Drosophila melanogaster: one gene and its partners. The protein of the gene in region 2 purifies or fractionates together with the protein of the main gene of each other region. This does not show direct contact. Each region holds a gene or a part of one and is shown on either strand. Other genes may lie near its edges. The genes, in order: CG12769, tra2 and hrg.

The links.
Region 1: the proteins of tra2 (region 2) and CG12769 purify together in Drosophila melanogaster (affinity purification with mass spectrometry, with the first as the bait; one large-scale study listed by BioGRID). This does not show direct contact.
Region 3: the proteins of tra2 (region 2) and hrg purify together in Drosophila melanogaster (affinity purification with mass spectrometry, with the first as the bait; one large-scale study listed by BioGRID). This does not show direct contact.

Annotation. Positions count from the first base shown.
Region 1 is NT_033778.4:8,060,508-8,069,903, forward strand, and holds the start of CG12769 (uncharacterized protein), read right to left. Parts: upstream 5,048-9,396; 5' UTR 4,733-5,047; intron 1-4,732. Other genes in the region: CG17977 (uncharacterized protein), read right to left, coding at 6,243-6,251, 6,619-6,786, 6,836-6,937; lig (lingerer), read left to right, coding at 9,392-9,396.
Region 2 is NT_033778.4:14,601,504-14,610,592, forward strand, and holds tra2 (transformer 2), read right to left. Parts: upstream 2,835-9,089; 5' UTR 2,694-2,834; intron 2,636-2,693; exon of another isoform or gene 2,626-2,635; 5' UTR 2,597-2,625; coding exon 2,481-2,596; intron 2,423-2,480; exon of another isoform or gene 2,233-2,422; coding exon of another isoform or gene 2,231-2,232; exon of another isoform or gene 1,999-2,230; coding exon 1,845-1,998; intron 1,787-1,844; coding exon 1,658-1,786; intron 1,622-1,657; exon of another isoform or gene 1,483-1,621; intron 1,403-1,482; coding exon of another isoform or gene 1,391-1,402; exon of another isoform or gene 1,374-1,390; coding exon 1,001-1,373; intron 940-1,000; coding exon 917-939; 3' UTR 501-916; downstream 1-500. Other genes in the region: Blos1 (biogenesis of lysosome-related organelles complex 1, subunit 1), read left to right, coding at 1-341; CG12868 (uncharacterized protein), read right to left, coding at 3,133-3,602, 3,664-3,697; CG33469 (uncharacterized protein), read right to left, coding at 4,190-4,672; CG33468 (uncharacterized protein), read right to left, coding at 4,871-5,358, 5,426-5,456; Su(var)2-HP2, read right to left, coding at 5,914-6,330, 6,395-9,089. UniProt on the Drosophila melanogaster protein: Required for female sex determination in somatic cells and for spermatogenesis in male germ cells. Positive regulator of female-specific splicing and/or polyadenylation of doublesex (dsx) pre-mRNA.
Region 3 is NT_033778.4:19,661,793-19,674,285, forward strand, and holds hrg (hiiragi), read right to left. Parts: upstream 8,041-12,493; 5' UTR 7,455-8,040; exon of another isoform or gene 7,326-7,454; intron 7,277-7,325; exon of another isoform or gene 6,998-7,276; intron 6,687-6,997; 5' UTR 6,562-6,686; intron 6,495-6,561; 5' UTR 6,457-6,494; coding exon 5,736-6,456; intron 5,673-5,735; coding exon 5,476-5,672; intron 5,418-5,475; coding exon 4,836-5,417; intron 4,776-4,835; coding exon 4,503-4,775; intron 4,439-4,502; coding exon 4,232-4,438; coding exon of another isoform or gene 3,733-4,231; exon of another isoform or gene 3,468-3,732; intron 2,875-3,467; coding exon of another isoform or gene 2,870-2,874; 3' UTR 2,755-2,869; intron 2,693-2,754; 3' UTR 2,127-2,692; downstream 1-2,126. Other genes in the region: CG11018 (uncharacterized protein), read left to right, coding at 751-804, 858-1,757; Kpc2 (Kip1 ubiquitination-promoting complex subunit 2), read left to right, coding at 8,963-9,357, 9,492-9,503, 9,569-10,058, 10,114-10,449, 10,502-10,805, 10,869-11,017.

The DNA of each region.
Region 1 (9,396 bases), 6.5 Mb from region 2:
AAAACCACTTTCCATGGTGACACACTTTTATGCTACGTGCTGTTTTGCTACTTTTGCCGCCGCTTTTGCTGCTGCTGCTTCTGCTGCAGCAACAACGCCAACACCACCAACAACAACAATAACAACAACAACGACGACGCGACTCCCATAATAGAAAGTGGAACAGGAATTTCCCCCCTCTATCAATGCCAGAGAGCACGGCACGGCGATGATTTCATTTCGGCTTTGGTTTTGGCCTGGCCTGCACTCATTGCGAAACACTTGCCACGGCCAACAAGCAACGGGCAGCAGCAGCAACAACAACGCAAGAAAATCAAGAAACGGGCGAGAAAAAACGTGGGGTAAAAAATAGCTCAGTGGGAGCCGATTCGAGCGTTGAGCTCTCTGTGTACAAGCGCTCTCTGGCACACTGAGAAAAACCAAAGGTCAATGGAGTATTCAGGCTTGAATGCAGTAACTATGGAACTTGCAAAAATATATTTTTATTAAAGCATTTAAGATAAGTTTTTGCTATTAAGCAAATCCCACTAATAACATGATTACACATTATTTATTAAATTTTAATACCTTTGATATGCGAATATCTACTTAAGCAACTTTTCTTCCCATGTAGCTGCCAAAGCAGCTGAGCGAAAATTGCACTCTCTGTATACAACGGCCCACGCTCTTTCTCCCACTCTCTCCCGTTCGGCAAGTGCAGCGCATGTCCCGTTTTTGTTTATGCTTTTCTCACACCCGCTCTCCCTGGCTGTAGTTGTTGTTGTTGCCGCTGCTGCTGTTGTTCCCGTTGTTGCAGGTGCACGTTTTTTGCTCTCACTGCAATTGCAATTTTGAAGCATTAGCCGCGTGAATTAATTTCTAATTGATGGGACCAGCAACCATGCTCTGCCCCACTTCCGATTCCCAGAGAGAGAGTCTGCCGATTTGCTCTCTTTGCTAAGTGGCTAGCGTATAATTTTTGTTGTGTTGACCTAATTATACGCTCATTTTGATTCACTTGATTTTCTCTGCACACAAACACTGGCAAACACTCACACACACACAAACACACAGGCACGAACGTTTCGTCACTGCGACAAGTGGAGCAGGCAGCGACGCCGGCAGAGGCAGCAGCTTGTGGCAGCGACCGTAATTTCTTGTGGTTACTGGGACGCAAAACAAATACAACATATAAATAAGGTGGGATACACCCCCTTCAAAACACACACTACGATGCATGCTTTTAGCCACTGCATCCCAGCATTCCGGTATCTGCCAATAAATCCCGATTCCGAAATTCCCAAACACCGACACAAACCGAACCGAACTGAATCCAAACTGCAATAGCTGGTGGAAATGGATGTGGAAGTCCCACACCAATTGCATCGGTATCCGAATCCCAATATACATACATACATAAGTAAGTACGTATCTGTGTCTGTCTCCGTTTTGTTTGGGACGGAAATGCCAGGGCAGGCGTCCGAGGGGGGTCACCACTTCAGGTGAGTCAGAGTTCGGAGGGTTGGGGATGGAGATCAGATAGATATTAGCCACAATTATTTCTGCACTGACAAAAATGACTACTTTAGTTTTATTTCACATAAAATTAAAGCGCACTTAATAAAGTGACAGTCCCATTGTCTCGATGTCTTATTTAAAAAACTAAAAGCTTGGTGTAGTATATTACTATGTATACTTCTTGATATAATTTACTGTGAATAACACAAAAGTCTTAGAAACTAGAACTAGAAGAGATACTAAGCTTGCAATGCCTTTGTATCTTCTGGTCATTAAATGTAGAGTAAAGGATAGGTATTTAAAAAATTGGTAAGCATTTTATTTTTCATCTCGCACAACTAATCATTGGTACAACTGAAGTTACCACATATTTTCCAAAAATGTGTACCAGCCACCTAATGCTCGAAGATCTTCGTTTGGGGGAATGCTTGAGTTTGAAGGCCTTTTATTTTTTTCATGTTCTCCCATGAAGAGTGGATGTGGATTTGGATGTGGATCCCCCTTGGCGCCAAACACCACTGGCGAAGATTTGCCAATCGTTTGGCTCTCCGGCACACCAACACACATTCGCCCAGAGAGCCGCCACTCACTGAAACACACTTATGCACACACACACACCAACCGATGGCACAGAGACACAGATCAGCCGCAGCAGCAACAACAAGACGCAGCAGAATTTGAAATTAGGTCAACAGGTTTGGCTGTTTGTAGTGGTGGGCCAGTTACTCGAGCGTATGCCGTCGTCTTTGCCTACGACCTCGGCTGTCATCATCAAGGGAGCGGGGTAGCAGAGGGGGCGGTGGAGTAGGAGGAGGAGTAGGGGGAGCTGAGGGAGTAGCAGCAGCAGCAGCAGCAACTACATCCAAGCTATCGCCGCCAACGCAATATGCGTTCCGTTCCGTCCCGTTCGCCATTCGTCGTTTATTGCACCACAGTTCGTGCAGTCTGCAGTTTGCAGTTTGCAGTTGCTGTGGGGGAGATGCACTCGCTCACACACACACAGCCGTCCATCCGAATTGAGCACACTGCAGTGTGGCTGTACGGGCGAAGGGGCGCGGGTGGTGGGCGTTGGGTTGTGGGTGGTGGGTGGTGGGTGGTGGGATGTGGGATGTGGGCGATGGGAAAGGGGTTGTCCACCCGTCACTGTGTGCGTGTGCTGCTTTTGGGGAATGAACCAGGGATGCAGAGCACAGTTCTAGCATCCCACAGCAAGAACCAATTGGGAATCGATAAGGGGAGAGGGAGATGAACGAAATTGACGCCAAGCCACTACGGTAAAGCCTTCTAAGACGCATTTTCTGAATAGAAAATATGTATGATCCGTGTTAAGAGCAGATTTTGGAGCTGGTAAGTATGCACATTATAATTTATTTTAACTAAATTCGTAAACTTGGGAAAACCATACTATACGATATCTACAAGATTTCCTTCAATGAGCGTGATTGGGCACAAACCCAGTTCTTGACACAAAGAAGTTAGCTAGTGAAACTTTTTGTGGCACTCATTAGAAAATTTAGCTAAGCCGAAACGAGAGTTTTATGAATGACAGATTCCTGTTAACCCATTTTCGGACTTCTTATATCTTGCAGTCAGTTAAATTTAAGAGTATAATTGTTTTACTATTACATCGGTGGACTTTCACAAAATAAGTTAAAATGTCTTAAAAATATCCATTAATCCATAAGTTTCAAAATACAGCCAGCAGACAACATTTAGGGAGGAGTGCTCTTTCGTGGGATCCACTTAGTCAACTTCTAACCAAATCGGACATGGACAGGTATGACTGCCGTTTTAAAAGGCCCGAATGGGCAGGCAGCAATCTTCTAGCTGCAAACTGTTGCGAAAACGCGCATATGTTCTGAAATGGAAACTCAACGCGGAGCCGCCGACTGGCGAGACCAACTTAAGTTTCTGATTTGATTTCGATGCAGCCAAGAGATTTCCACATACTTCTTAGTTGGTTTCTGTGTCACAATCACACAGACGAGGTGGACGTGGCACGATGAGGAGGGGCGGGTAGAAGAGGACGGGCCAAGTAATGAGCTCCCAGAGAGCTGCAGCCATCGCCATCGCCACCTGCAGCAGCGACGGAGGCGTCGCAGCCACCGAAGCCGGAGCAGATAATCCCAGTAGAAATTGAAACTAGCTGCGGCAGGTTTAGAAACTGGTATAGAAAAACGCCAGCCACAGCCGCAAAGGCAGAAACGGCAACAGAAACAGCAGCACACATAGGCAATCGACCTTGTAGGAGTGTATTTTGTCTTGGAGCATGCCCGTAAACTGGGCCAACGCGATTGCACTGAAATCAGGTGGGCGTGACGTAGGTATATACAGTGCAACTCCGCGAAGTTGAATTCTGGGAACTCAAAGTAAATGCGTTTGTTTGATCGGTTTACTATTGTTTGGTTTGTAAAGGGATTTTTACTAAAACTTCAGACTTGGCCTATCCCAAAAACAGATTTATTCGTGTAGCTTCTTTAATTACAATTTCCGGTAATTAAATAAACTTGATAAATACAAAAATGTTTCTTTGACTCTGACTATGATTTTGAATACTCGTTTGCTTATACCTTTATGTGATTTCAGTACTTGATTTATTAAAGTGGCAGATGGTGTGGCCACCTATGGAATTTTGACTGTATGTTGGCCAATAAACGCGTTAGTGTGTGCGTGTTCGTGTGGGAAAGCTGGCTGTACCCTTGGCGCCCATTAATCCATGGCGGAAAATCCACGAAAATCTGTCGCAATCCGACAGATATCCGAAATAGCCAGCCAGGCGCTCGCAGGAGTTTCGTAATTACATACCCGCTAAAATGAAAGAGCGGCAGCCTTGGCTTCTGATTTTCAGTTTCTTTTTCTCGTTTTTAGCTTGTCAGTTCTTCGATTCTTCGGTTTGATAGTTGTTTTTTTTTTCGTTTCAACTTAGCATTAGCACAGCTGGAGTCTTTTGCAATGCTCTCGAAAAAAAGAAACGCGCTGGGTGTTTGGCAATTTTAGATTTCAAAATACCACAAGGTGCATTCTAAACACACACACACACATAGGCACACGCACACAAACAGGCACTGGTGCGCTCTCCCGCTCTCCGGCACGCACACACACATACACTAGGGCATATTGCAGTTCTTGGATCTATGTTTCTCAATGGGGACTTCCATGGAGCGGGGCATTGCATTGCTTTTGCAATTTGCAATTTGCGTACACTGCGGAGTCGCGGATTATTCAACCAACTAACCTCCCACAAAAACGGCAACTGGAACACAACACAACAATCGCAATGGATTTGGATGTGGCTGTGGAGTCGGATGTGGATGTGGATGCACTCGAAACAACGCGAACGCCGAGATGCCGAATGGATATTATGGAGTCGAAACCAAACCGAAATCGAAATCGAAATTACGCGCAGCTCGAAAGGGCAAGAGTTAGCTTTGGGCCCCAAATAATAATAATAATAATAACAACAATAATAATAATAAAACTGTCAGTGGACAACGCGCGCGCCACATGCGAGGCCACATCCGAATGGGCCAAAAGACGAATCCACTCTGAGCGGATTCCGATTCGGAATCGGTATCTCCCGCTCGGCCGACGCTCTGCCGCTGCCCGCGTCGCTGCCGGCTGCTCTGCCGTGGCGCTCGGTGAAACAAAAACAACTCAAGCGATTCCGATTCCTCAAGGCCTACTATTTAGGCCAAAAAATAATGTACCACAGCAACTACGGCGGCAGGCAGCAGTGGCAGCAGCAGCGGCAGCAACTCGTTTCTTACAGAAATGTAAACGTTCTAATTGAGTTCTCATTTATGGCCCGCTACACCGACTGTGCAACTGAGCACTGGCCTGGTACTTGTTGTTGCAATGCCTAAAACCATCGGAAAATGTTTTTATCCGGCTGGCATAACCATTTTCAAATTGGAAACAAGTTTACTGAACCCTGCCAGGTTGCCTTTTTCACCAAGAGCAGCGACACTCGTCGTTTTCATTTCGAATCACTTGTCTCAGTGGCACTGGCGATTAAGTATCCATTAACAAAATATCTTGGGCATCGCGTTTTTTTAAAATCTTGCAATTCCTTTACGATGATTGCGAAACCTTGAAGAATGTTGAGGATGGTATATCGATGGATGGTATATGGTCTCTTTCCATATGCAAATATAAAATATATAAACCCATATATATATATATAAACATTTTATAATACCTTTAGAAACGAGAAAGAAGCGTCTCTTCAAATGCACATTTTTTGAATTAAATACATTTTTTTCTTTATTGCGTCAGTTAATTTACAATAAGGTTTAAAAAATGACTAATTAGGTGAAATCAGAACTTAAAAATCGAATAAATAAATAAATCAGTGATTGCTTTGCAATGGAAAACAAAAGTATGGTAAATAATAACAATTATTAGAACCACTTAAAAGCCACATGTGGTGAAATCTTTGATCCATATTTTTCCAAGGGGATGTCGACCAGAACGTTACGGTTTAAAAGACTGGCGTTTCGAGGCGCTATGCAAGCCGAAAATAACCTCATTAAAGCGGAAAGAACACAACTTACTGCAGAGAGCCAAAACCGGTTTGGCTTAATATTCCTTTCGTTGAGATAAACGTTGCAAATAAACGAAATGCAGCATTGATACCAGCTTATCGGCTAATCCCAATCAGAATCTGGCTCACACTTTTGGTTCTGTCTAATCCTCCTCCGTAAGTCGTGGTTTCTTTTATGATATCGTCGCCTTAATGTCTGTTTTCAGGACCCCTAAAGATGAGAGATTACCAGAAAATGTTTTCTTAAATTTTAGCGCAACTAACTAAAAGTACTGATTCTAAAAATATTCCTGCTTACTAATTTAATTTCACAAATACGAACAACTTAAGATATAATAATATAATAGATATGGAAAGTTTGATGCACTATAAAAAAGGAACCATCGCGGTCTTCAAGCATAAAAATATCCCATGCAAATATAATTTAGTTATTTAGAATGACTAGTAATTATAAACTAAATTGACCCATTAGCTTATAAGCCAGGATAGTTTTTTTTACGCCAAATTATAAATAGCAACACCTAATTTAGTAAACGAAATGAATGCTTTAAATCTGCACAAAGCTATACTTAACTCACCAAAAATAGTTTCGTTAATATATTTGTATGAGATGACTGACTGCTGACTGAGAGCTCACCGTCGCAGTTGTAAGCCATGAGAATATCGTAGTTGAACATCTTTGACAAATTGTTTTTCAGCGGTTCTATTCGACCTTCTGGCCTCAGGATGCGGTGAATAATATGAGCCTGGAAAACAAAAAGATCAAGTTTGTAATACCCCAATAATCAGGCTTACGTTTTGTGCTATTGCCCGGCTTTGAAAGATTCGCATCCAGATTGGAAAGCTCGTCGGGATCATACACGGGAAAATAGTCCAGTTCCACCTTGCAAAAGTCATTTTGGTTTTTTAGGATCTTTTCAAGCTTATTTTTGCAGCTCCTCCATTGCATCTTTCAATATCTCGACGTCGTCGTCACTCGAATATTTGGGGCATTGGTGTGTGCTCATTGCTCGCCTGGGTAAATATACTTAATGTTTTGTCATCAAATGCAATATTTTGTCCATAGTTTGGTAAATGAACTGATTTTGTTTGTTTTTTTTTTCAAAAGTAGTATGTTTTGTTGATGATAGAGGTGTGCAAATGCCAACAACTTTTCATTTGGTATCGATATACCACTTGATTTAATACGAGTTCAAAACCTTTTAACAAGGAGCATACAACATATTTAAGATCGAAATCAGCTTCTAATAGGTAAGCTGCTTATATTAGCTAATGGAAAATTGGATAAATTAGCTTTTTGAAGCCTTTTAATAATGGTATAGAAATGTTATCAATTTAAAAATTAGTAAAACTGATTCGTGGCACCGCTAGATTTCTGAGTCCAGGGCTGCATGCCCAGATAAAGCCATATCGATCGACTAACGAGCGGTCACATTAAAAGTGCGTTTCTCGGCGCATTTGCAGGTATTGAGTGTGACTCCGTTTTGAAAATTTGTTTATCCAATTTAAAGCCGTGACCGGAACCCTGCTGAGGTGTTAAAGTTTAGTTTAAGTGTCCCCCCACCTGTGCAACGTGTTTTCGACATGTCTCCCGGGGGCTTGTCAGCGAAAAACTCGGTTGAAAATTCAATAGTGGCCGCTGTCTGGAGCGGCGGTCGTCGTCAATTACTGGGTCCCTTGGTTTACATAAGAGCGAAAGAGTCGGCTAGTGTGGCGTTGCAGAAATGGCGTCGAAGTATGTGCACATGGCTGGGTCTATTAAGGCTATATATCCCGTTTGCCCCGCAATGTGCAACTGGGAGTGCGTTATCCTTGCCGGGTATGTCACATATTGGACAAATTTCGCCAACAACGAATCGTACATTTCGCTTATTTCGGCGCAGTGTACGCCACTTTGTCCGGTTTTGCATTCCACTTTGTGCGCTTCATTCGGTTTCAATGCCCTCGCATTCAGTGTTGCCAAGTGCCGGAGCGTACCTAGTGATGTGTGCCATCCGAGTCCTGCCGTGAATTTGTGCGTTTGTGCAGATATTGTAGCTAACGCTGTTTGCCCTCTCTAGGACCTGCTACCTCGTTAACGAATCCAATCATTGTGCTCCGATTGTTGGTTAATTTAACGGCCTTGCCAAGTGCCGCTGCGCTTTGTTCGCACCTGGCAACACTGGTCAGCCCGCGCTGGTGCGGGTGCGAGGGAGATGCCGCTAGGACAGATGCAGAAAAGCGAGCACAAAAGCGAAAGCGAAAAACCGAAGCGAAGAGGCCAAGGAGTTTATAAATCAATTTTTGTGTATGTCAGTCACCGCGATTCCCATTGCAATTGGTATTGAGTAGTTTCCGGGTCTCGGATCGCAGTTCCCCAGTTCCCGTGGTCAAATTTCCATATCATGGTGTACGTGCGAAATGCGAAACCTGATGGAAAAGTGATGGCGACAGCGGTCTTTTGTTTGTGTGCGGCAGTACGCGCGTGTGTCTGTGTATGAATAATGCATGGAAAGGCGTTATTCACGGCAAACGTTGATAAAACTGTTTTGACAACAAAAATTGAGTGATTCAGATATGCACTTGGTATCGGGGTCGCCTCTCCCGCTCTCTTTCCCATGAACCACCCCCCCTGGAAATGCCAACTGACGTTTCGGCTTGGATGCGTCGTGGTCACGTACCCCGCCACCCCCTCGGCAATCATTCTGTTACCTGTTTTGCCAATACACTTTTCACCCCCCTCATTATTTTTGTTATTTCTGAATGCTCGCTTTGTTTGTGCGTACGATCTTCCCTTCCTCTCGCACTTCTTTGCTTCGGCGTGTGTCTGTTTGTTCACGTTCTTTCATTCTCTTTTATTAAATGTACATTGAACTCTCATCTTGCCAACTTTTCCTTTGCTGCTCTCTTTCGGCCACTTGTTTAGCCATTTTAACACATTCCCAGATAAAAGCTGTCTGGATTGTGGGAGTTTACCATTAATATTTCCACGCCGACGAATCAAGATTTAGATCTTAACCATTCATTATTCTCTATCCAACAAAAAATTTATGTAAATGCGCTGTAAATTCCAATTGAATTTCTGCTATATTATAGTTGAATATCAACTAACAGAAGCGAACCAGGCGGCTAACTTTCTAAATCAGCAACACCAAAAATCATTACTTATTACTCTCTACTTATTTGCATTGATCTTTAGATATTACTATTTTACTTATAGAACATTAAGTAAACCCAGAGAGTCCCATACTCAGAATCCAGTCAGCACAGACTTAAATTTTTATCAGTCAGTTTGTAGATTCCCTGGTTTTAAGATCGAATCCTTCATCTTTTTCGTATTGCAGCTAATTTGTATATACAGTGTACATAGAGATGAG
Region 2 (9,089 bases):
CTCAGTCTCTGGTGGACACCCTAAATGTGGGCGTGGCTCAGGCCTACCTGAACCAGAAGCGGCTGGACGCAGAGGCAAAGCAACTGCACTTGGGCGCCACCAATTTCGCCAAGCAGACCCACCAATGGCTGCAGCTCATCGACCAATTCAGCACTGCCCTAAAGGATCTCGGCGACGTGGAGAACTGGGCACGCAGCATAGAGGGGGACATGCATACGATTAACCAGACCCTAGAGCTGGCCTACAAAGCCTCTCGAGCGACACAGACATCGAGCGGAGCAGGTACATCCCTGGAGGCCTCTACTTCAGCGTCGGCAAGTGCAAATCCCAGTGCTACTTGAGCGTTTTCCAAAGAATGCATTTGTATCCTGTGGAGATCCATTGAGTAAGTGTATGACCGGTTCTGCTTCCCATACAAACTTAGTTAATCCTAATTAAACTGAAATTTATAGAAGCTTAAGTAAATGATATGTACGACCAATTCAATAAAACGCCCATTCACAAGTTAATCGTCGCTTCTGTACAAATTAATCTTTATTTTGTACCTGCTGCACAATTGCATTTATAATTAAAATTAGTTTAATGTTATCATTATCAGTTTGCTGCAGTTCCTTTAAAATACATATCACAATCCATGCGGACCTCTGTATGTAATGTTGGTAATTGATTTGATATTTACAATTTATGTTTTTATACAGCATTAATAATAGTAACCGAATTATTATGATTAAAGGGTGTTTTGGGTGAATAATTAATTAATCTAGTTGCGAACTGTTCGCCAACCAAATGCATTAGATGGGATAGGATTCACCAAAACAATATTTCAGTCGTATGCTCCTTTACAGCCCGTTTGACACAATCCAGTTGGGCGAACTTAGGAGCACGAGTTAATGAAGTAGCCTCCTCCCCAGGCGCTTTAATAGCGCGATGAAGTTCGACCTAATCGTGGAAAATATACAGGATAAACGTTTGATTAAATAGACGGAGGAATAAACTTTACGTAGTTGCGGAGAGCGTGAACGGCTGTAGCTCCTGTTGCGAGTGTAACGGTTGCGACTAGGGCTCCTGCGGAGATTACGGTCGTAGCGATCGTTGCGGTAATCATAGCGATCACGATAGTTGTCATAGGGCGAAGCGGAGCGATCGTGATACACACGGCGTCCTCTACGCGGTGAAAATGAGCGTGGAGCTTTTCCACGCGGCTGACGACCCAAATACACACCCGGAGTTGGGGTATGAGCCCGTTGGGTTATAGAGAAATCGACGCGAATACGGCGACCATCCACTTCTATTCCGGAGCAGCTGTCCTTAGCCGCGCGGGCATCGCTGAGTTTCTCAAAGTAAATGAAACAAAAGCCCCGGGAACGCTGTGTCTGTATGTCAGAAGTTATTAAGGGTTAATCTACGTTTGTGAACTTGAACTTTCCTAACAACTGAACACATATTGATTTCGGGAGATCAATATTTCCTTCGAACAATATGCCACTGTGACAGCAAGCCTTTAGCTTTTAGTTTGGAATACACAAAAACTCACAATCGCTATCAAATTTTATCTAGCCAGAAATTAAGACAAAACTGCAGGGCTTCAGCGGATTTGTCTACACAAAAGGATTCAGGCAGGAAATATCTTAGCAATGCTTATCGAAAACCGACTTACTTGTGCGTCAATCACCATCTGGATGCGTTCGATAGGTCCGTACTTGTTGAACAGCTCGCGTACCTTGTGCTGCGAGGTATTTGTGTTCAGTCCAAAGACTCCTATGCAGCGGCTTGCTTGTGGATGTTCCTGAAACGCCGAAGATCTTTAGGATTGAAAGGAGGCATTAATCGGCAGAATGGCTTACGCGAGACTTGTGCATTCGTTCGCGATCGCGTGATGAACGTCCGGAGCGATGACGCGGCTCCGGTGGCGGCGACTCCGAGGAGGAACGCGAACGGGAGCGTCGGCGAGAGGAGGACCGCTGGTGCCGGCGACTGCCACAGTAATCGTAGTCAGACCTTGATTCGATGTGGAATGGAATGAAATAAGATTATCTTGCGGTTCGTTCTTGAGGGTCTTGAAAAGTTTTGTATTTCGTGTGGATTTCGGGTGGTTCTTGCACGCCTTGGTAACTGACAGTTGGAAAATTTGTGTGACTTGACAAATGCTACGGTTGGGTTCGACCTCTTTCGGCCAAATTCTTTGGTAGTTGGACGTAGAATGAAAATGATTGCTTCGGTGGGTTCTTACATAGTGATGTTCGTTGGTTGGTTGGTTGGTTGGTTGGTTTCTTCCAATGAAATGAAATCGGCTTGAATGATTTTTGGTTTTAACTTTCTTGGCAAGAGCACCAGCTGAATCGGCTGAGGGGGCAAATCCAAATGAAAGGGCCCTATGACAGTTGAACCTTTTTTCCAAACTGCCAGTCAAAACTACTCGATGCTTCATGTCAAAAGAGGTATCGTTTAGGGTCGTCTCACATATGTGTGTACACATTTACCTGCGGTCCTTGTGTCCGGATGAAGTTGTCCCCGCTGACGATGATGACGCCGATCGCTTGTGTTTATATCTGGCGCTGCAATGGAGACGCCCGCTACTGAGTGGCTCCCGATCCATTGGCTTTTTGCTTACCTATCGAAACTTCGCTTATCGGAGCAATGGTGGCGAAAAAAGAAGATGAATGGGTGCACACTATTTGGATTGCCGTTCTTACCATTTTTGAGGGTTTGATTCCCTGCTATATTGCACACCCAATCAGTGTTTACCAATTAATTGATAGCCTTTGGCAGGTTTTATTTATTCTGTCTGCGTTTAGAAAGACGCACGCTTCAACAGGGGTGGCGATAGGTGAGGACGTGCGTTATCGATTGGCACTTTAACCCTTATGCGGCGTTGTCATCCATTTAGAAAAAAAAAACACAAGCGGAATTTATTTAATGTTATCGAATATATTTAACAAATTAAATCAGCATAATTATTATGTACTTTATTCAACGAAATATAGGAAAATAAACAAAATTTGTACTACAAGAAAACAATACTATTTGATTGGTTAGCAAACCATTATGTTATATGGATTTTGTAATAGTACAATTTATTATTCTTGCTTTTAGATAGTCATATACAAATTTAATCCTAAATCACAGGTTAGTTTAGCGATACCGCATAGACCACATATTCTTCACCATCACATAATTATATAGTCTCTGGTGTTCCAGATGATGCAGATCCGTGATGGTTTTCACCACTCGCTCGTCGTTGAAGTGGCTTTTAGGTGGGGCTTCCAGGAGATTTCCCGTCGTAAACCACTTTAGGTTCGAGAAGTGCTTTCTCACACTGTCCCGCAGAGCAACTCCACTGAAAACTGGTGTGCGGTACAGATCAAACATATTCTTCTTGCCATACTTCTCGTGGATCTCATCAACGGTCTTGTCCAGATCAGGCTGCTTGGCGTGATATATGACCCATAGTTTTCTTTGTGGGGCACGGAGATCTGTCAAGCTAAGAACTCCAAAGAATTCTACTATGTAGGGATTGAGTTTGGGTGTTTCAGCTTTTGGTTTTAGACAGAACAATTTTCTCAAATGGCTGTCGATTTCCTCATCCAGGTTGTAATCTCCTTCTGCGAATCGGTTGTTAATCATCGTTGATGTTCCAAATAAATAATTTGCCGTTTTAATTACCCGTGTTCTTATCAGTTACTGAATTCGTTGTCATATTTTAATAACGAGGTGACTCTTGCTTCTCTGACTTCTGAATGCGTGTTAACTTCCTACGCACTCTTATTAAATACCCAACAAATACGATTTCAACTGATTTGTATAAAGTTTGTTTCGTTTTGTTTACGATTTCCAATTTCACAACAAAAGAGCTTTTTGAAGCAACCCTGTGGCCTATCAAAAAACAGTGAGCTTTTAATGCGCTTGTTTCTTTTTAATACCTATTAATGCAGACAACTAGGGTGTTTATGTTTGTTGATTAGGATGATCGGATGACTGTGTCTTTAGACTCCAAGGTATATACTATTATGTACTACTATATTATAACCGCAAGCTACTTGTGTGTGTATATATTTTATTCGACATATTTTTATAAATCATTTAACTTGACCAATAGGTTGTAAAATGTATAATAATACCCCCTATCAACAAATACACATGCCGCTTTTAGTCAACAGATGTCGACTGTAAGTCGATGTTTTTAGTTAGTTTAATGTTTAGCAGGAGGTGGTTTTTGATCATTATACCGCTCAAACCAGGCGTGTTGTATCATTATATAGTCAAAGATTCTTTTTTGCTCCTTGTTATGCAAGTCCGAAACAGTTTTCACTAGTCTTTCATCATTATAATAACTATTTAGTGGAGCTTCCAATTGATTTCTGCTTGTGAACCATTTTAAGTTGGAGAAATATTCTCTGACGACTTTATGAAATCCCACTCCGCTGAATGTGGCGATCTGAAATATTTCTCTGACATTCCTATTGCCATATTTCTTTCGAATCCTTTCCAGAACCTTTAACCTTTCTAATCTAAGGCCATAATAAATGTACCACCGTTTTTGGGCAGCGACATTTGGTTCGTCAATACTGAATATTCCGAAATATTCTATCGTATCAGCATCCAACGACGTAGGTTCTGCAACTGACTTCATATAAAATAGACGTCTCCAGTACTTTTCCAATTTATCGTCCATGTTGCTAATATTCCCTGCTATTAAGAAATATAATCAGATGAAAACTTAAGGTGATTCATAGGCTTTGCCCATTGATAAGTGTGCGGCAATTTTGCCTTCCTACCTCAACAAGCGTTAAAAGAATACTGGTTAGCATTTATTGGCATTTATTATTTTAAAGCTTTATTCTAGAAAGTCTTATACATAAATGAAAATATTTTATGCATTTATGTTTCGATATGTACACGATTTATACAGATTACTCCTAGACATAAGGTAATCGAAGTATCTTCTCCTTTCGTTCTGATATAAATCTGCAATTGTGTTAACCACTTTCTCATCATTAAGGGAGCTACCTAGCGGGGCTTCCAAAATGTTTCCTTTTACGTGCCACTTAAGCCCTTTAAAGTGGTTCTTAACACGGGATCGCATTCCAGCCCCTGTATATACCGGTTTTCTGAACAGCTCGTACATATTCTTTTGGCCATATTTACGATGGATCTGATCCACAGTTTTGTCCACCTGATCTGTTGTCGCATAGTACATGTACCACAGTTTTCGGCGAGGCGCTCGAACATCGCTTAAACTCAGAACTCCAAAGTACTCCACTTCGGTTGGAATGTACTCATTTTTAGTATCGATTTCCTTTAGGCAAAACACACTTCGCAAATACCTTTCCAGTCGCTTTTCTAAATCGGGATATGCACCTGTAGATTATTATATACATATGTGCATCATTATAATATGCCTCTGTAAAGTTTTAACTAAACTTACTATTGGGAGCTTCAACAGCAGATGTTGTCATCTTGAAAAATTTGTTGTTAATAGAAACGGTTTTTCCCCTGCGCAACTTTTATACTTATCGCTCTGTAATATTTCACAAGAGCTTTAAGATTTCGCCAATGGCTCCAAAAGCTTCGAACGAAATGTAATTTTTCTTATTTCTTATTTTACACGATTTATGCGTTTCGGCTTATATAAAAAAATGTTAGAATGTTTATATTTATATTTTATTTGGATACTTAATAAATATGCAATGATAACTATAAGATATTTACTTGAAAGTCCCACACTGAATAAAATATTTAACCATTTATTTCAAAAAAAAAAAAAAAAAATGACGATGCTGCGTAAGGTTTAACAAATTCTTCATTTCAGAATTACAAAATTATGATTTTGCGTTCAACGAAATAATTAACTCTTAATTAACTGTGCTAAAGTAACTTAGAATACTTTCCAACTGGTTTATAGTCTTTGCCCTGCTATATAATAATCTCCGCAGAATCATCCAGCTCGCCTTTGATCACCGTCGTTTCCATGTGCCCTACGCTGCTGTTGGAGTCAGGCAGGATGCTTTCCTCTGACTGCACCGCGTGGTTAATGATGAAGACATTCGGATTTCCGGTGGTACTCAGACTCATTCCGGCGGGGGATACGAATTCGTCAGCAGGAGTCTCACCCAACACTGCACTTAAAGACCCTGTTGATTTCGCTCGTGCAACGGATGAGACTGTGCTCTTGGACAGAGTTCTTGCCGGCGCCGTCTGCTGTTTGCACAGCGCCGGTTTCTGCACAGCTGGTGAAGAATTCATCGACTTTAAAGGGCCCGAAGTCCCTGGTTTTTTCTTGGCATTCGTCCTTGGTGCTGGCATACACACTGTTGTGTTGAGATTAACGAACTGTTTAGGAACAATAAATTGTTTATTAATGACCACATAAATATTTGTCGTAAATAATAACTACCTGACTAGCGTCTTCCCGAACACTTTTCGGGATCCCCAACGTGGATCTTGGCTGAGCGTTTCCTAGAGCTGCTGCTGCTGCTGCTTGGGATGTGGAGGCTTTCACAGGCGTGCTGGTGGCAACATATGAAGACTTTCGCCCTGCCGTCGATTTCGAGCAGCTATACGGAAAGCCAAGTGTGTTCCTGCCCCCATCGTAAAGGGGAATGGTAGCGGGGAGAGAACTCCGCTGTTGGGCATGGTCCGCAGATATTTTCTTCCCTTGCTGTGGGATGTCGGAGGTGGCTATGCTTTTGGAAAGCGTCGAGCTGGTGGAAGCGCCTAAGCTCGAGTTGATTTGGGCCGGGGTTAGAGGAGTCATTGTGCTGGTAGCCTTGTTTAAGTAATGTACATAGTTTTCCAAAAGCTTTGTACCCACATCCACGTCGATGGCCATTAACGAGCTGGTCCTTACAATTTCCTCAATGGTACGCTGTCGCTCGGCCACTGATAAGTTGGCTGCCCGCCGGCTGAGGGTCTGGAGCACCAAGTCAAACATTTGAACCCTCGCCTGCAACTCCACGCGCTGCTTGTCGTTGGGGCAAATCGGAGGTAACTGAATAAAGGACGGCGACGCATTAATTACCATCGAGGTGCCGGCTAATGAGGGATTGGTAGCCACTTGTTGCACTGACTTCTTGATCAGTTTTGTGCCACGTGGCAACTGTTTGCTTAAAGAATCCAAGTCCGCCGAAATGGTAGTGGAAGAGGAACTGCCTGAAACTACGGGAGTGGAAGTAGATGGGTCCACGGTTGTGGGATGATTAAATAGACCTGGATCAGGTAGGGGAGCCGATAGCAAATTCTGTATAATCGATGGAAACGGTTGAGTTGCCGGACCAACCGAAGCGGGAGCAGGTGAAAAGGATGAAGGACCGGTGGGATCAGCAGTCGGAGTGGTAGCCGTCGGGGTCAGTTTACTGGAATCCCGTTCTTTCGACTTGTCCAGTAATTCCAGCTTTGCCCGCACCTTACTTGGCATATTCTTATCCGCCTTAGAGATAAACTTGGTGGTTATAACCAGGAACTGCGGGATTTCCAGCACCGGTACCTCGGCCTTCGAATGCAATCGAGTAAAATCAATAGCCCGCATTGGTCCATCGAGATTTGGACAGCAGAAGTCTAGACCGACGTCGTCATAGGATTGCTTGTAACGTTTCGGGTAGAGAAATGAGTACATCTTGGTCTGCCCAATGGCATTGGGGTTTCCGTCAGGGTCACTGGCGGAGGGAATTGAATGTAACTCAAGCGGCCTAGATGAAGTGGAAACACCCAAGGTGTTGACTTGAATAGTGTCGGGCCCAGCGTCTTCCGTAATCGCATGTGGTTGAGGTGTTGCTGGTGCTGCAGCAACCATAGGCATGGGCTCATTAGGTGAATGCTCATCCATGATATCTTCCGGCTCTGACTTTACCTCTGGAATTGGCACAGGCAAACATTTGGCTTGAAACGTTTGTAGCTTCTGCGGTTCTGCAACCTTCTTGGAACTTTCCAGCAACGTTGGTTCGTCAGGAAGATGTTTTTCAGTCGATGGACAGAGAGCAGTGTTCAAGGTTGCTTTAGCTGTCTGTGCACTTTCGGGTGCGATGTCTAAAGCGGGTGATGTCGATGAATCGTTAGCTGCCGGTGAATCATAAGCTGCAATTGGAGCAAGTTGAGCTGAGCTTTCCCTTATTCGGAGATCTGAGGCCTGTAATGTACAAGAATCGGGCTGGGATGCAGGCAGTGGCTGAATAGCAGGCTCCGACTGTACTTGGGATTGCAGAATTGATTCTGACATCGACTCCGCCGCTGAATCCGTTTCCGAGGTTTCACCAAGCAGTGGTAATGACGTTACATTACGAGATCCTTCTTGTTCTTCATTCCTCTCCTGCGTGCTCCGAAGCCACTTATTATAGGGCCTCCGATTTATTTTCACGCAAAGTTTGCGGGGACTAATATTTTGAGGAACTGTATTACCCGTAGAACGCACTACTTGGGGAATAACAGAAGAAGCAGCTGTTATTTTTACTGGGAACGCAGCAAATGCAGATTCTTGGACATGATCATTCTGTTGTGGGTGGTCCTCTTCATCCATCTCTCTGGGTCTCTTGGGATTGATCACCGCTGTACCGTCTTCCGCTTCACCCGCTTTCCTTTTTGAAACAAGTGGCTGGTTCCTTCCACCTCGTGCACGACGCTTTGATAAAGTCTGTGATTCCCTGATTGGTTTTTTTTGGTCCGAAACAGGCGTAAAGCGCTCCTTAGAAGCATTTCGTTGACTGTCAGACATGGGAGTTGGTGTAGGTGCCAGTGATCTGTTGCTGCTGATAGCTCGGGTCATGTGACCTGGCACATTGAAGATTCCTTGGGATTCGGGAAATGTTGCGCGGATATCGGATACATCTGATTGAGAGTCCATCGAATCCATTAGCTCAGTAGCAGCCTCAGCTTGCAGGGAACGAACCTCAGTCTTGGGCTTCGATTTGGGCTGTTCCGTTTTGGTGTTTTTGACCGCATTTTGGTGTCCGCGACCTTTAGACATTTTCTCGATTTCTGCGTCTTGAACTGGAAACTCTGTTTCCTTGGGCAAAGCTGCTTTCAAAGCAGTTTCAGACTTCGAGACATCTGGTTGAGGTAAAGATGTTCCTTCAGATTTTCTACCATCTATTTTACTT
Region 3 (12,493 bases), 5.1 Mb from region 2:
GACTTCGCTTCTCACTGCGGGATCCTTACACTTTGAAGATGCGTTGGTAACTGATGACTTCCTTGCCAGCGGCTAGATCTTTTATACCCACTTTCTTGTCCTATAAACACCTACCTGTGGGTGGCGGGCGTTGTTACCTGAAAGGGTCGGGGCTGTTCCGCGAATTCGCGTCCCGGATCGCGACGACCTTAGTGAAAATTTTGCAACTTAATCCGTGGCCATAAACGGATTAATGCTACTCGGTTTCGGGGAAAAACGCGCAGCTGTGTCGCGTATAATTTTCGCAGAACTGCAATTAGGTTAGGACCAGAAAGGACACGGGATCGCAGATCACCGTCGGGTTCCCCGTGTCGTCCCACGAAATCCTAGGTATCACGCAGGATTAGTCAAGAAAATTTCACTACCTTAAACTGTATAGGTGGCGACTGTACACGATGTATTTAAAATCCTTGAGATATTAATGGCTCTTGAACAAACCACCTGTTTAAATTGTAGTTAACTCCTTTACTGTATACAGTAACATAACGAACCTCCATGATACAATATATATTTTCAATATTGACTGTAAATTTTTTACCATTACCAACTATTATTTGTATAGATCTTTCCCGGCCTAGTTAGCAATCGAAGTTTCTTTGTAATTGAAGTCACTATGGGCTCCTTGTTGAAAACGCTTATTTCTTACATTCGTATTGTTGAATCACACTTTAAAGACAAGGGATATACCCCTAAAATATCACATAGAACACTATGCATTGGTATGCAATCCTCCAAGGATTCCTCCTGGGAATATCATCGATAATCGTGAGTGCGTCGAGCCACCAACTGCAGCACCTATGTATATTATAATCCATTAGATTTTATGGGTACAAGGAGTCGTTGGCTTGCCATTGGCTACAACCGATCTGGAGTCACTTCCAATCGTCTTGGCAGAGGATGTTCCGGTGGAGAGAGCTCCAAGGCAAGTAAAACCAGATCCGTCGACGTTCGATATTTTCAAGGTGGATCAAAGCTCCAATAACCAAATGCAGCAGAAATCCGACGGCTTCAGAGTGTTCGCAAAGAAACTACAGGATGATTATCACCGTAGAGCTGGCTACAATGAAACTAATCCGCCACCAATTACTGTGACCCGAGGAAGCACTACTGCTCCTAAGAAAATCCATAAAAGTGGCATTCGACTATTTGCTTCTCCACAAGATCCACCTCCGCCTGAAGCTGCGGCGCCAGCTGATGGAGCTCCAGCGGCGGCAGGAGCGGCTGAAGGAGGTGCCGCCGGAGGAAAAGGAACTGAACCACCCAAAGAGCTGACCGTCAGTATTCAACAATTCGTTACAAACCAATATGGGGAGAAGGAATACAATGCTTGGGGCGTCACTTTTGGTAGACATTTCTTCGACACCCGTTTCGCCGTAGCTAGGCATGAAATACCTCGAATAACTGTGGATCCGAAACCGGTCCGTAATTACTATCCAAAAATGGACAATCTGACCACCGTCTGCTTGAACAGATCGACCATCTACAATGAGATTAAAGTCGAAAAGTGGCTGATGCGCCACGTCTACAGCATAAAGAAGAAAGTGCGCCCCTTCTTTTTCTCCCTTCGCCAGCAGCTCTACGAGAAAGGGGATTCGGAGCAGTGCCACAATGAGTCCTACACTGACTGGTTGGAGTACCAGGAGTGCGCCATTAGACGCAACCAGCGCATGGAGTACTTTATCCCCAAGTATCCGCTACACCAACTTGCCATTAACTAAAGGCAACCACATCTTGGACTCACTCAACCTGTTTAAATTTCAGTTAGACATTGATCATGATCAGTCTTCGTACGAGAAAATTGATGGGACAAGGAATGATTATCATATTTGTGATTCCTCTTCATTTAAATGTAAATTCAAAAATTTTCTTGATTTATGCTTGCAGAAATAAATATATTTTATTTTCTTAATTTAAGCTTCTTCGGAACAAACTACTCATCCTTTATTCGTCATTAGCAAAATAGTACATTTTTCTATAGCAATTTAATTATATCCAATAGTTCCCAACATTTTCAGTGCAAATATTTTGTATTCCAAATATATTATCCATCACACATCTCCAATAAATAATTAAAACATTGATACATTGGTGTTTTAGCTTGCGCTTTCATTTTTCTGGTTTATTTGGTAAAATTAAATCAATATCTTCATTTCATTTATATGTTTTTGTTATTACCTTTTTTCAGATATCATTTCTTAGAAAAACGAACATAATTGTTTCAAATTTTCAGCGTTGTACAACTAGAAGAAGAAGAAAACAAATATTGAAAACAAGATGAAAAATTAAAAAGAATCTTCTTAGTTTGTAAATAGTTTTCAAAGCGAATCTTCTCCAGGATCTTGTCAGTCCGCTGCTGTCAATCATCCATTCATCCATCCATCTTTATCCACATCCTCCTCTCCACACTTCTCTCTTCTACGCACTCCTCAAACCAGCTGTGGGGAAGTAAAAAAGATGTACAACAATATTATTAAGACAAATGTTAGAGAAATGCTTTCTCTGCCGCTAAAAATCGCCTCAAGTCATGATGTTTTCTTGTCTTAACGGCGATTGTTGATCTCCGAATGCCAATTTCGATTTGACGATAGGGCGATGTTAATTGGTTGAACGAATAATGTTTAACACATGTTTGTAGAAGGTGTATGATAGAAACCTGAAATGAATGGAAAACCGAATTATAAACTTCAGTGGCCATTAATTCAAAATTAGTCTCACCGTTTTGTATAAAATATTGTGGGCTTCATGTATGTTCAGGCATCAATGCCGAGGAAATCAATAGGGAGATAATAACTATGATAACTAATCCTTAAATGGTATGTTTAATAACTTTTTACACTGCAAAGACAATAAAAAGGATAAAAACGGTTATTGGAATATATGTATGTTTTATATATATGTTTTAATTACAATACTTCAACAAGAATATGCAAACAAAACATTCGTAATTTTCGGTGTGGTAAAAAGTTTGAGTTTATTGTACAACCAAAGTGGAAACAATTAAAATCAAATTAACAGCAAAAAATCTTTTTAACAATACCTTCATCTTTTACTTAATTTCCAGATGAGACGTGTGTTATTATCGTAGTAAAATCCCACAGAACCGAAATATCTGTGCTACTATATAAAACAGTTTCCTTAGCTTGTCCCTTATAAAACCCAATACAAACATTAACAAATGCTTTTTAAGGGCCATGAATTCATTAAAACTGACGAAAGCTAGACAGCCAAACAAAAAATAAAACCCGAAATATAAACAAAATAAAATGTAAATGTTTTACACTTATTTCTTTTTAGAAATTGTTTCTTGAATATTGAACAAAGCAAGGTTTGTTTCTCGCATTTTGTTTTGCAGATTCCTATAGCCTAAAATGTTTGACCAAACGAATTTCACTGTAAACAATTTGGAAAATAAAAATACGAAAAATGTTCAGTGTTTTTTCTTTTTTAAAAAGTTTATTTTCATCATCGTTTATTGAGCTTAGTCTCGGGCTAGGTAAATTGAATTTTTAAAACTTAAAAAATTAGAGGTATGTTTTTGTTAGATTGTTTCCACATTGGCGGAATACTGGTTATAGAATACGTAAAAGTAAGTAGATAGGCAACTTAAGAGTACAGAAACAGTCTCGTGTCAAAGGAAGTTGGGGAAAATGAAAAGAGAGTACGATAACGAGGAAAAACATTTAGGCAACTTACAAGAAATTGTCGGTGCCGGTGGTGCGGCACTCGCAGCTACCGGAACCGATGTTGCTGGTGACGCCGATGTAGCTGTTATTCTGACCGCTTTTTGTTGCTGTTGTGTTTGGTTGTTAGGTGTCAAAAGTGGTTGATTGTTGTCCTCGTCATCATCATCAATGTAGTACGTTTTGTTGTAGTGGCTGCCGCCGCCACCGCCGTTGTTGTTGTGAGTGCTATGCTGGGTGTAGTTGCTGTGAGCAATGTTGCTGCTGCTGATCATGGTTGTTGATGTTGCCGTTTGCTGCTTGCGCTTATGTCCGGTAATGCTTAGAGCAGCCGATAGACTGGAAGCGGCATGCAGAATCGAGCGTTGGTTGAAAATGCTGTTGGAGGCGGCTGCCGCAGCCGCGTTGTTGTTCTTTCGGAACTTCTGATGATGATGATGGTGAGCTGGTGGCTGTGGCGGCGCTGGCGGTGGCTGCTGATGTGGCGGATGCGGATGTAGCGTTGGCGGTTGTCACGAACATGCCACCTCCGTTGTGGTTGTGTTGCTGCTGGCATTGCCATTGTTGTGAGGCTGTGTCGGTTCCTGCTCTACAACGTCTATCTCGGAGCCGTTCTTGCCAGAGCTCTTAAAGCTTGGCGCACTTAATTGCGCCGTTGTGGGCGTGGTGGGCGTCCCTGCCCCCATATCGCTGGAGGCATTCGAGTTCTCCTCTGTCAGCTAGACATACAAAGTTTCGACTAATTAATACGTTCTAAATTGATATCTTTTTTATACCACTAACCGAATCGCTGAGTCTTTGTATCTTGGCTCCGCTATCCCGACCGCGATTTCCACTTGATGGCTGCTGGCCTGGGGGCAGTGGATCCTGCGATTGGGCCAGTTCCGTAGAAAGTCGTTTGCGGTTAGCCAATAGCGTGTTATTAAAATTATTGTGACTTTCCATTGACTTGCGCTCACGTTTTAGGAAGTCAGAGTCTAAATAAAGCGACAGCTGCTTGCGCTTTACATGGCGGGCATCAATGGTCATGCCTTCCTTAAGCATTTTGATGTTAACCTGCAAGATTAAAAAAGTAATAAGCAACTGAATAAACATTATTTTCGATTTTTTACTTACGCCGTGCATCATCACATGCTCTGTAAAGTTTTGTATGCTCTCGGTGAGGTCCACGTTAAGGTTCTCCGATCGCTCGAATTCCAAGCCTATAAACCACATGGAGCAGAAGGGTGCCGATGTCACAGCAGACTGGTTTCCCTGCGACTGCTTCAGATCGTCTTCATTTCCACTGTTGTTTTGTGAGTTGTTGGCACTTTGGCCCTTCTTAAACTCAAAACACTTGGGATTGACATGGGCCAGTGCAATATGGGGATTTCGCTCCAAGTTGCCAATTAGCAGACGCACCTTTGACTCAACAAGGCCGCACCACTCTAAATGATCGTCAGCCGTCTGCGAGTTGACTAACAACACGATAAAGTGGCGGTATCTGTAAAAAAAGCTAGGTGCCTCAAACAAACGCTCCCACGGAATGCGACCGAGCATGATTTCATCCGTGATGTTCATGCCGCGATTGAACTCGGTCAATATGACCTTCTTGGTGGATTCGGACACATTAAATGTGGAATTCTGTTGTGGGTATGCGGGCGTAATAATGGGCATCAGATGATACCGATCCGAGGCATTGACACGCGGATCCCAGACCTAGAATAGGAAAATCTATTAGAGAACCGGACTATTTGGATAAGTTTTTATGACTTACTTGAAATCTTAGATTAACGTTGTCCGGGTGCTTGAGTAGCACTGGGTTAGGCCACTTCCAGCGCGAAAAGACCAAGAAAAACTTGTGCACCAGTGTGGCAGCCGCAGCGTTGGGATACAGCTGACAGGTTCTGGCCACTAACATGGCCCAGGTCACACCACCGAAATAACCCAATGAATTTGAGTAGATTCCGTGCTCTAAGAGAGAAAATGAGAACAATTAGAATTTAATTTATAAGAATTTTATATAATAACACGTACTCTTTGCCCACAATTTGATAGTGCGCAGTGCCAGGCGGAAATTTTCAATATTGGGCACCAGGGCCAGGATCTCGTCCGTCACACGACAGCCGTTGAGGCTGCGCACCGAACGGTGATCCAGATTCCGCAGTAAGTTATCATCCCGTAGATCAAAGTCATCAGGAATTTCTTTTAGGGACAGACGGGCAAACAGCAAATCAATTTCGATGCCATCAAAGTTCATTTTGATGACGGGCACAAAGGCCTCTTCCACCGAGCGGCACTCGGTTACCTCTGGCTGCTTCTTGAGCACCTCAAAGAAGCTCTGAAAGTAGTCGGTGCGCTCAATATTTCGCGGAGCAACACATAAGGCATCTATATCGGCACCCTTGTGATGGACACCCAATCGATACGAGCCGAATGTGTAGATCTTGCCGCCAAGCTTCTCGGCGGCTGACTCTGGCATGTTCTTGCTGACAGAGATTTCCTTGACCCACTGCTTGACCAGTGTGTTGAGCTTGGCCAGGATCTCCATACGGTGATTTAGCTCGTCCTGGCTCTCAAAGACGTTGTACGGCTCCAGTGAGCCGCGGAGCTCATCAGTGCGCTGGAGATCCTCAGGCCGTGGCTCGGCCAGACTGATAGCCGAGGTCATGCCCAATTGCTTGGCGGGCGGTCCGCCCGAGGTAGAATTTCCATTGTGCTGATGGTGCTGGCGATGTGTTGGTTCGGAATTCCACATGTTGTCTGTCTGCCTTCGTTTCAGCTTAAAGTTATGTCCTGAAAATTGAAATTTTAAACGGTTATTATCTGATCCTTTCGGAATCGCTATATTCGATTTACTCACCTATCTAGGCTTAAAATGTATGTGGTATTATATTTAAGTTTGCTCTCCAAGAAGACAAAATGGAATCATATATATGCGACACCTCCTCTTGTGGCTCTGTTTAAGAAACTGCGCTTAATAAAATGCTGGAAAAGAAAATAATACATTTAGTATGACATCTAAAGCATTACTCTAAGGTTTGGTTTTAAAATTCTTAAGGAAGAGCGGATCGTATTGAAATTGAATAGGTTTGTTCGGACTATGATAATCTCATAAGGATTGCGAAATATTAGGGTTTCTTAAAGTGAGAATTATTGTACGGCGTTTCCAAACTGATGACGACGCGGTTTTTTAAAAAGTGAATCACCTAATATTTGAACTAAATATTTGTGGGATACACATTCATCACGTGATAAGGGCTACATATATACAACAGTTACTACTAAATTGAAATTACCCTTTTCTTCCTGTGTAGCAAAACAGTTAATTGACAATTACAATTTACTTTCGCGCTGAGTAAATGCAAATTGTAATGTGCGATAAGATATTTCTGATAGCGCCGTTATATACAAAAAACATAACAATGAATTTCGCAAAGCAGCTGGGCACACTGGTTCACTGGATAGCCTTTCGGGCATATAAACAAATGCGTAAAAGAAATTGGCAAATAAATTAGCGGTTGGAGTGGGTTGCCGTAGCTGTTGCTTGTAGCAGAATAATTGTGACAATGACAAACATAAACAAAGAAAGCGAATATTTATGCGCCTGCACCACCCCCCTCTCACCAACGACAATCCTCCCACACAGGTAAACGGTGCTCTCACGCACGCACTCACGCACACCCACACAAACAGGCACGCGCCGTATACATACACACACGAGGGGAAAAGTTTTCTCTGCTTGTTTTTGCTTACCTGCGCTTATTCTTCAGATTCTTGGCCTGTTTTTGTTGTTCCCGTGCCGCCGCTTCAAACAATATCTGAAGGTGTGTGTGTGTGTGGCGTGTCGTGCTGTTTGTCCGCTGCATTCGTGAGTGGTGCATATGTATGTATGTATGTTTGTTTGTTAGAACTTTTGGCAGGAGAGTGTATCCCATTCATGTGCTGTTGTCGCTCCGGCTTTTACTCTTTTCGCACGTTCGTCTTCCTCGCTTTTTTGCCGCACTCTTCACATTTCTTTTTTCGTTTCTTTTTCCGTTCCCGTTCCACCACCTTCCACTGCTGCTTAACGGACAGAAACTCTCGCGTTTTATGCTACGTGACGCACACGCACACACCGATATACAAATGCCAGTAGTCGACTTGCCAAAACGCAAACACAAACGCTTTCCGCCCACTTTTGTTTCGTTTCGGAGGTGACGGGGGCACACTGATAACACGACGGGATCGACGCTGTGGCGTTTAGTGGGCGGCAAACATATTTTACTAACTTTTAAGCCCCTGCGCGTTCTAGCAATAATTAAAATGTGTGGCAATCGATTGGATGCTTGTGGCAATCGTTATCGTTTCTTGCGGCGCATAGAGATGAGCCAATGGGAGTAGCTAGGGATGGGAAGATTTCCATGCTCTCTGCTTACGTATGCCTATTGTGAATGGACATTTTTAGTGAGAATTTTTAAATGATTTTTAGCAAATTGGTTTTAAATATAATGTGTATGAGCACCATTTTATTTCATTATCAAGCAGATTCGTTTCGCAAGTAATAAAAGTGAGAGTCATCTGCAAGCGATACCGCCTTAAGTAAAATAAGCTGAGGGCATAGGATTTACTATTGGTTCTTTTACAGTTGGGACCTAATCTGGCCATCTGCTTATTTGAAATCTGCGACAGATGTCACTTTTTGCACCTTTGGTGTAGGTAAATTCAAAACCCAATTTTCTTACCTGAAATTTGAAAACCCATTTCAAACTGGGATTTCAAGTATGTTTGGGTTTTATATGACGGGTCTAACCAGGTACCAATTTACCATTAAGACACTTAGATTGTATTACTAATAGTTTTTGGAAAATGAATTCTTTAATTCTATTACTATATTCGGGTAACTACTATTTATTGCAGTAAAGTAACAAAAGTATTTAACCCCAATGTTTTCCTGTTATTGTTATTGGCTAACGATAAGGAATAACATAGTTTTCTTCATATATGTACATATCACGATATATTTATAAAGTTCAGCCACATAACATATTTTAAAATAGTTTTTCATGTCAAAATAGCCGTTATAAAGATTAGGGGTATTCCCCATGGATATGGCCTATCTGGCAGCACCATCAAACAGCTGCTTGCTATCGACTTTACAAAAATAAAAATCGTTTTTTTTTTTTTTGCAATAACGCATCGATTCTGTTTACTTGCGAGAAATATGCAAAATAGCCATCGAAAAGTGCCGCAAAATGTAACAAACACCTAGCTGCAGACCCAAGATGATACCCTGGATGCGGGAGAAGTTCAACGAGAAACGGGCCAAGTGGTTGGCGCGTAGCAAGCGCAGCGGTGGTTCTCCGGCTGACGAAAGCCCTCGGAGCAGCAGTCATAGCCACAGCCAGCGGACAGACGCCAGCGATGCGGAGAGCCTGAGCGGATCCTCGTTGAATGTCCACACGGCGGAATCTGAAACGCAGACGGATGGCGGGATATCCGCTTCCAATTCGCGGCCCCTTGTGGGCGGGGGCAGTTGCGTCCTAAGGACTCCATCGCCCGCTCGCCGACGTCGCATTCACCTTGAGCTACAGCTGCAGCGACGAGAGGAACGTGCTGAGCATCAGAAGGTGGTGCCACAGGACTCGCCCACGCCCACTCACCAACAGCAGGCTAATGCGTAAGTTATCAAACCGAACGAATATGCTTATGTTTTTCAAAGTGCTCACCCGAAACAAATATTTGTCTTTCGAAATTCTCCGTTGGTTTGTCACTACCCATCCAACTAAAACAAACTATGCAAAAACTGCGCAGTTTGTTTCTCAGGTTAGTAATGCTTAGGTATTATGCTAATCTTTTAATTAAGTCCATTCTTAACGGAATCCACTTAGGAAATCAGCCCATACAAATCGCCCAGGTAGCTCTACTTCTGGCGAGGCAGACGATGCCAGCAGGCCAGGTGAATCTATCCTGGTGCGGGTAATCTGCCCCAGCTCTCGGGTTCTTATCTTCAAAACGGACGTTAATAAGCGCCTAAACGAGCTGAAGAGTGAGGTGATTCTGGAACTGAGCGACGATCCCGACTCCATCCAGCTATTTGCCCCAGATGTGCGGCATCTTAATCCGCGATACCGTCTCTATCGGGCGGAATACTTCGGCGGCGAGCTTAACGAGGGCGACACGCTGGCCCAGCTAAAAGTTCGCAACAATGAGACTTTCATACTCTCCCCACGACGCAATACTCTGCCGCAGACTGTTTCACGGATACGTGAGGTTCCTGGCCCAAATGAGCAGCTGGTGGAGAGCGCCACCCGATACGTGCCCGTCAATTGCAACCAGCTGCCCACCATCGATATTAATGAAATCTTTCAGCAGTCGAATGTGAGTACAATTCTTGGCTACTCCTTTGATTATTCTAATCCTATTCCGTTTCCAGATCCAATACGATGTGCGAAAGGTGTTGATCTCTTTGGCTCAAGCTTCTGCGGCGGTTATAGGAGCTGGCCCTTATGCTCCACGCCTGATAGCTATGCTAAAGCAACGTTTGATCAATCGCCGAAATCAGCAAGCGGATACGCTGCAATGCCTCGTGGACATGGGCTTCAAGCGGGAGCTAGCCGCATTTGCCTTAAAAGCACACAATGGCATTTACTCGACCACGATGGAGTGGCTAATACAGAACCAAAACGAGGAAAATCCACAGGAACCGCCGGGCATGAATATGCAGCACAGTCTATCTTCCATCTCACCCTCCACGATTGTCACCAATAATGTAAGTAGGAATTAGATTATCGCTTTTTAATGACAACCGTTTTCTTTTAAAGGAAACCATTGAAAACACTGCTGCCTTGATTGAGATTGTACGAATCTACAGCCACCGGGATTCCCCTCCCAGCGATGAGATTGTGGAATCGCTTACAGAAATGGGCTTCGAGGAGACGGCAGTGCTCGCGGCACTGAAGAAAACTGGCAACAACAAGGCGTCCGCGTGCGAATGGTTGTGCGACAATCGATCGGGTAGCGTTATTGAACTGCGTGAAGGCTTGGCGCCCGATTCGCCCATCCTAAAGGTGATCCTGGAAATGCCACAAGTCCAGATGACCCTAAGCAATCCAAAGACTTTTTTGGGTATGTCCATCTAATTAAGATAGCAACAGTTGAAATCGAAACTAATTGCACATACGTTTACAGCATTTCTGGGCATCCTGGAAAACGAACATGCGATACGCGTGTGGCGTGGCGACAACGACACAACCTCGGTCATCACACATATCCTTCAAAAGTACCATGAGGAGAAGCATGTGCTTGGCATCAATCAGTTCTATACGAACCGCTGGTGAAAGATGCCGCTAAGTGGCTTTACTATGAGATTAACCAAATTATATTTATACATATACATACACAATCACACACCCGAAGTGCATGGCTGTAGCTTGGTCCATTTTGGGGCTCTAATTATACATTGTGTATGTGCCCGTATGTAAAGAGTATTTTTGTAGCCAAAAACCATGAAAGTAAACTGCACAAAGCCAAAAGATGCAATCGCTTCGCCAAGAGCACGCGGCTGCACTCTACAAACGCTTACCGATCAGTACGAATTGCATTTTATACATACATATACATATATATACATACATACACATATATATACATACATACATATATATATATATATATATATATATATAAATATAAAATGTATCTATATCTAGTCAGGCCTTCATCCTACAATTGTATTAGGTTAAACAATAATTACTCTATTCATCTAGTTTGCTAGCTCATCTTCAGCCGAATCTCGCACTACATTTAGAAAATGTCACATACTGCATCCCACAGAAACAACCCATCAGTTTATAAGCGCTCGTACGTGTGGTGATTTAAGTGCGTTGTAATCCCAGGTTGTTTAAACCATCAACTTGAACTCAAAGTATTATTTTGTAAACCAAATATTCAAATTTGCATAGTTTTAACAAAATGCAAATAAATCAATTAGTTTTTGATACAAAACAAAAGAATTAATGTTTCTTTTATATCCAGATTATGTCGGTACTAAGGTGTAAGATGTAACTTTTTATATAGTTTGTAAGATTGGATAAAGTTTTCAATGACGGTCGTCCTCGTGTAGCGAATAGTTATTTTGTGTTTATTGTCGGACTTCTTCTTAAGTCAACAGTAAACCAGTAGTTCCCAAAATTGGGGGATTCTTTGTGTTTATAGCAAATAGATAAGTTGACTACGCATGACTCAAGCTCCTTTGAGTTCACCACGGCGGATGAGTAACATTTACAGACACTTTTAAACAAAATGAATCATCAGTGATAAGTTGGTGTGTACTCATTCGTAATTTAGAGCATATGTAAAGCTAAACATTTTCCATTACTCTTTCTAGTAATTTGTACAAATGGAATTGCTTTGTTGGCAGAGCAATTTGGATCTTTGCTGAATTATTTTGCTATTGCTCTTTTAATGTACAATTACAATTAATTTTCCATGCGGCCGCACATTTTTCATTTCATTATTCCAGCTGCAAACATGAGAGTAAACAAAAACAGTGAACCAAAACTATTCTATTCAATTGTTGCATTCTTTTTTCCACATATAATTAATTGTATTCAGCCTGGACGGGGAAAATAGTTGGATACATTTTAATTTATGTTAAGCGCGTTTATTAAGTGGTTGTTGCAGTGGTTGTGTATCCATGAATAAACTTTTCCTATCTGGTGACTTTTAATTAATATTTGCGCGCAATATTTTTGGTTGTTTAGGATATAAATGTGGGCAAAGAGCAAATTATTTATGGTCAGCTCGTGTTTTTA